Linked DNA regions of Saccharomyces cerevisiae S288C. The gene in region 1 interacts genetically with each later gene. Each region holds a gene or a part of one and is shown on either strand. Other genes may lie near its edges.

Evidence for each region. A genetic interaction does not mean that the proteins touch.
Region 2: of TMA20 (region 1) and TMA22, changing one enhances a phenotype caused by changing the other (phenotypic enhancement), as found in Saccharomyces cerevisiae (one study listed by BioGRID).

What each region holds. Positions count from the first base shown.
Region 1 is NC_001137.3:165,707-168,783, reverse strand, and holds TMA20 (translation machinery-associated protein 20), read left to right. Parts: upstream 1-1,898; coding exon 1,899-1,909; intron 1,910-2,012; coding exon 2,013-2,547; downstream 2,548-3,077. Other genes in the region: GTP-Rho binding exocyst subunit SEC3, read left to right, coding at 1-976; PAC2 (Pac2p), read right to left, coding at 2,701-3,077. UniProt on the Saccharomyces cerevisiae protein: Involved in translation.
Region 2 is NC_001142.9:460,188-462,955, forward strand, and holds TMA22 (Tma22p), read left to right. Parts: upstream 1-1,641; coding exon 1,642-2,238; downstream 2,239-2,768. Other genes in the region: YJR012C (uncharacterized protein), read right to left, coding at 1-6; GPI14 (glycosylphosphatidylinositol-alpha 1,4 mannosyltransferase I), read left to right, coding at 195-1,406; YJR015W (uncharacterized protein), read left to right, coding at 2,534-2,768.

The DNA.
Region 1 (3,077 bases):
GAAAGCCGAACCAACGGTAGCCCCAGCCTTAACTTTTTACTTGGAGAATGAAATTAAAAGCTTAGAATCATCCAACCATGAATTTTTATTGTCTGCAGTGACTAGAATGTACACACAAATAAAACAAGTGTGGTCTGATAATGTAGAAGAGCAGGTTTTGCACTTCGAAAGAATTTCTAACGCAACCACCAATGGAGAAATTCTTCCAGGTATACTTGATTTACCAGTAGGCTTGAAGAATTCAGAAGATTTGTTCCAATTTGCTAAGAGGTCTATGGATATTAAAGATACCGATGAAGGCTACGAGTCCATCGAATTAATGAATTCGAGCTTCAGGAAGCTAAGCATAGCTGCCACACGATCGATAACTCACAAAGAAGTTAATTCAAGCATTAATCCAAACCTTTCAGATACTGCTGCTTTAAATAATGACTATATGGAAACTATTTCTCTCCTAGTGAACAGTAACTGGCTAACTGAAATGCTTTCCATGTTAAACTTCAATAAGGATGGTATATTTGATACGTCATTGCAAAACGTTAAGAAAGTTTTCGATGTGGAAAAAGAATCTTATGCTTCCTTTCTACTCCGCGATACTATGCCTAAACTAACAGCCTTTGTTTATGGTGTGAGCAACATCATTGAAAATACCAACAATGTGAACATGACCAATCCTTCAAGATGGGCCGCATATAGCAGGCAGAACCTAGAGAACATTCTTTTAGCATACACTTCCCATGAAATTGAAACTCTAGTAAAAAGGCTGCACACTCATATGGTAAATGACTTCGGTTACCACCAAGAAAATGCCATAAACAACGTCCTATGCGATAAGTTGTGGTCGTGCATTCAAGGTCAAACCGTCTCACTATACTTGAAACTATACACTGTAATTGATAAACACTATAGAGGGACAAACATACGCTTCACGAAGAACGATATCATAAGTGCGTTCGAGGAATACAAGAATGCCTAAGTAACCTCTGCATTGTCGCTTCATATTACATATTTAGACTAATTAAGTAAATATTTTGATAAATTTCAATTTCAAATATCGTGTAAAATGATATATTAGTTTTCGAATTTTTTTTTCTGAATATAAAAGGAACAGAATATTAGTTAGCTTCATTGTCCAATTACTATTGTTACTTACGTTTAATGCATTTTCTTTTCTTTCACTTCCTTCCTTAATACTCCATCCTTATGCACGGGAAATACGCATATCAGTGAGGATTCGTCCGAGATTGTGTTTTTGCTGGTTGAAATTTAATTATAAACCAGACCGTCTCCTCATGGTCAATTCGGTGTTCGCTTTTGAATACTTCAAGACTATGTAGGGAATTTTTGGAATACCTTTTTTCATTACCGATATTCATTCTTTCAAAGGGACTGTTTATTTTTCTTTGGAAGTAATATCAAAAAATAGGTTAGGGATACCGGACTGAAACATTCAATTGAGGGCCCAACCATATTTTTCTTTTCTTTTTCACCGAATTCTCTAATGTGAGTTCACGTTATAGAAGCTGGAATTGTAAGTAATACAGAAATGGCAACTAAAATGGTAGGCATGAGTGTTCTCCTTCTTGTGTGTCTTTCTTTTCACCCGATACAGTAAACTTTGTATAGGAGAGTTGACCAATTACCTGACAGTGCCGTCTATAAACGAGACCTCAACTTCACCTCAAAAACCATAATTTTATCTATTGATAATTATCATTATGGTCATTTTCCACTAAATTCATAGTTACCTTACTCTTATGCTTTGTATTTGTAGGTGTAAAAATGACGAAAAATTTAATTATCTGAAAAATTATTGTGTGAAAAAACTTGATTTTGCTATAACCTTATGTAAAACCATATAAAAGACAAAGACGGTAAACTAAAACAGCAGAGAGGAAATGTTTAAGAAGTATGTCTAACATGAGAATGAATATTGCGTAATTCACTGGTTTTACCAGGGGTTAGTGTACACTTTTGACTCAGTAAGCAATTACTAACATCATCATCGATAGATTCACAAGAGAAGATGTCCATTCACGTTCAAAGGTCAAATCTTCAATTCAAAGAACGTTAAAGGCCAAATTGGTCAAGCAGTACCCCAAAATAGAAGATGTTATTGATGAATTAATTCCTAAGAAGAGTCAAATCGAGTTGATTAAATGTGAAGATAAGATCCAATTGTATTCCGTCGATGGTGAAGTTCTTTTTTTTCAAAAATTCGATGAACTGATTCCAAGCCTGAAATTAGTACACAAATTTCCAGAGGCTTATCCCACTGTTCAGGTTGATAGAGGTGCTATTAAATTCGTTCTCTCAGGTGCTAATATCATGTGCCCTGGCCTAACTTCTGCGGGTGCCGACTTACCACCTGCTCCTGGTTACGAGAAAGGTACGATTGTAGTCATCAATGCCGAAAATAAAGAGAATGCATTGGCTATTGGTGAATTGATGATGGGTACTGAAGAAATTAAATCAGTGAACAAAGGTCATTCCATAGAATTGATTCACCATTTGGGCGACCCCTTATGGAACTTCAGCGTTGAGTAACAAACGGAGCCGTCAACACTATATTACTATCCATCTGCTACATAATAAAATAAAGAAACTAAGAAAAAATTAGAATAACATCCGCTTACAATCTAAAAGGCTGTTTCCTGATTTTTAAATATGCAACTAGCCAAGATTAACTATATACTGTGATTACGATGGGCTGTTAACCTTCTGAATGCTCTTGTTATTTACTGGAGACGAAACATGAATAATATCTCCGTTCACAACATTAAAATCTGAAATGGGGCGAAAATTATACTTTATTTCGTTTATCATCCCTTCAGAATTTTCATGAAATAACTTAACATTCAGTATGTCAAAGTTTAGCTTTCGACATATTACACTCTTAACGTACCTTACTGTAAAACTGGGAAGGACCCAATAATCTAAATCACTACTCGGCTTCTTGCCAGCTCTTATCTTTATTTTTAAGACAAGAGATTGCCGTGTTTCTCTTTCATTGTTGAAACTTAGCTTACTCATATCGATTTCATACGACTTTATGAGGCTTGACCAACGCGGCAGAT
Region 2 (2,768 bases), on another chromosome or scaffold:
TGCCATGCTTGACTCGTTATGTTCGCAATCAATTTTCAAGAGGTAAACCGAAACATGTGGAGCTCTTTTACAGGCTCCGATAATAATAAAAGAAACTTTAATAGTTGGTAAGAACTTGACAAAAAAAAACACAATATATATACATAAAAAAGTCAACAACTGACAAGCAAGGTAAAAGGTGATAAAGTTGAAAGATGACTGGCGAAGAATGGGGCTTGACTGTACTGTCATTCTTGGTAAGAGTCGGATTTTTTCTTTTTGGCATTTACCAGGACGCTAATTTCAAAGTGAGGTACACTGATATCGACTATTTTGTGTTTCATGATGCTGCTAAATATGTATACGAAGGCAAATCACCTTATGCAAGGGATACATATCGTTACACACCGCTACTAAGTTGGCTGCTAGTGCCTAATCATTATTTTGGATGGTTTCATTTGGGGAAGGTCATATTTGTTATTTTCGATTTGGTTACTGGGCTCATTATAATGAAGCTTTTGAACCAGGCCATCTCCAGAAAAAGAGCTTTAATATTGGAAAGCATTTGGCTATTGAATCCGATGGTTATCACCATCAGTACAAGGGGAAACGCTGAAAGCGTGCTTTGCTGTTTGATCATGTTCACGCTTTTTTTTCTACAAAAGAGTAGATACACCCTAGCTGGAATCTTATATGGTCTTTCTATCCATTTCAAAATATATCCAATCATATATTGTATCCCAATAGCAATTTTTATATACTACAATAAAAGAAACCAGGGTCCACGAACACAACTTACATCGCTACTCAATATCGGTTTGAGTACTCTAACAACTTTGCTTGGATGTGGTTGGGCAATGTACAAGATATACGGATACGAGTTTCTGGATCAGGCATACTTGTACCACTTATACAGAACGGATCACAGACACAATTTTTCAGTGTGGAACATGCTATTGTATTTAGATTCTGCAAATAAGGAAAATGGTGAGTCCAATCTCTCAAGGTACGCATTTGTGCCTCAATTGCTGCTTGTTTTAGTAACTGGATGTCTTGAATGGTGGAATCCCACATTCGATAACCTATTGAGGGTTTTATTTGTGCAGACGTTCGCATTTGTGACATATAATAAAGTGTGCACATCGCAATATTTTGTTTGGTACCTGATCTTTCTACCATTTTACCTCTCAAGAACGCACATTGGTTGGAAGAAGGGGCTTTTAATGGCCACGCTTTGGGTAGGAACGCAGGGAATTTGGTTAAGCCAAGGTTACTATTTGGAATTCGAAGGCAAGAATGTATTCTATCCTGGACTATTTATTGCAAGCGTGTTATTTTTCGTCACCAATGTGTGGCTACTGGGTCAATTTATTACTGATATTAAGATACCGACGCAACCCACAGTTTCCAACAAAAAGAACAACTGACTGACGTGAACTTGCACCATGTACATCAATTCTATAAATCTACTCATATAATGAATGTGTAAATATGAAAAAAAAAATGCAAAAGCGCACCACCAAAAGAGAAAAAAGCTGAAAAAAAAAAGGAAAAAGATACTTGATGTGATGTGTGAGTGAAAAAATTATTAATTCCTACTGGATAAAATCACCCCAAGGAAACAGTTCAAGAGCTAAACTAAAGAAAAGCATATTGCATAAAATGTTAAGAGAAGTCATCTATTGTGGAATTTGCTCCTACCCACCAGAGTACTGCGAGTTTTCAGGAAAATTAAAGCGTTGTAAAGTTTGGTTATCTGAAAACCACGCAGACCTTTATGCAAAGCTATACGGTACTGACGATAATACGCAAGAGGTGGAAGCCGTGACCAACAAACTGGCTGAATCCAGTATTGGCGAAGCTAGAGAGGAAAAGTTGGAAAAGGACTTGCTGAAAATTCAAAAAAAACAGGAAAACAGGGAACAAAGAGAATTAGCTAAGAAGCTGTCATCGAAAGTGATCATTAAAAGAGAAGCTAGGACCAAGAGAAAGTTTATCGTCGCTATCTCTGGGCTGGAAGTTTTCGACATCGACATGAAAAAGCTAGCCAAGACATTTGCGTCTAGGTTCGCCACAGGGTGCTCAGTCTCGAAAAATGCAGAGAAAAAAGAAGAAGTTGTCATTCAAGGTGACGTGATGGATGAAGTGGAAACTTACATACATTCCTTGCTGGAAGAAAAAGGCCTAAAGGACGTCAAAGTGGAAACCATCGATGCTAAGAAGAAGAAAAAGCCTGCTGCAGAAGGAGCTGCCAAGTAAGCAATCCATAAATATGTAATAGCACCGTTCTGGGAGAAAAGGACTTTTTACTTGGTAACCAGGCGTGTAGGTTAGATAGTCAAACCCTATATCGTTCTTGAGATCGTCGCTCATATATACTGTGCAGCCGGCCCTCGTGCGCCTGCGCCGTTCCTTCTCTGAAACCTTCGTAGTAGGACAATAAATATAGTCCCCATTGCCTATTCAAATTATTTGCAACCGAAAAACTGCAAAATTTGTTGTTGACCATAGGCGTACAAAACACAACTCAATCCAGCCGTAAGTAAGTATAGTTATGACTTCATCTCTAGATGATATAGAACCAACAGCATATAATAATATGGAAGCGGACGAGGAATATTGCAGACGCAACGATATACATGACCTTTCCAGCGTGGTCGGTGATGCTGTCTCACAAGGTGTGCCAGACATGGATGGTCAAACAACGGATTCTTCGAAGGACCCTGAGCCAAATTCCGAGGATAAGAAAGCGTTTCCTCCTTCGAGTGGCTCATTTTTTTCTCCTAATC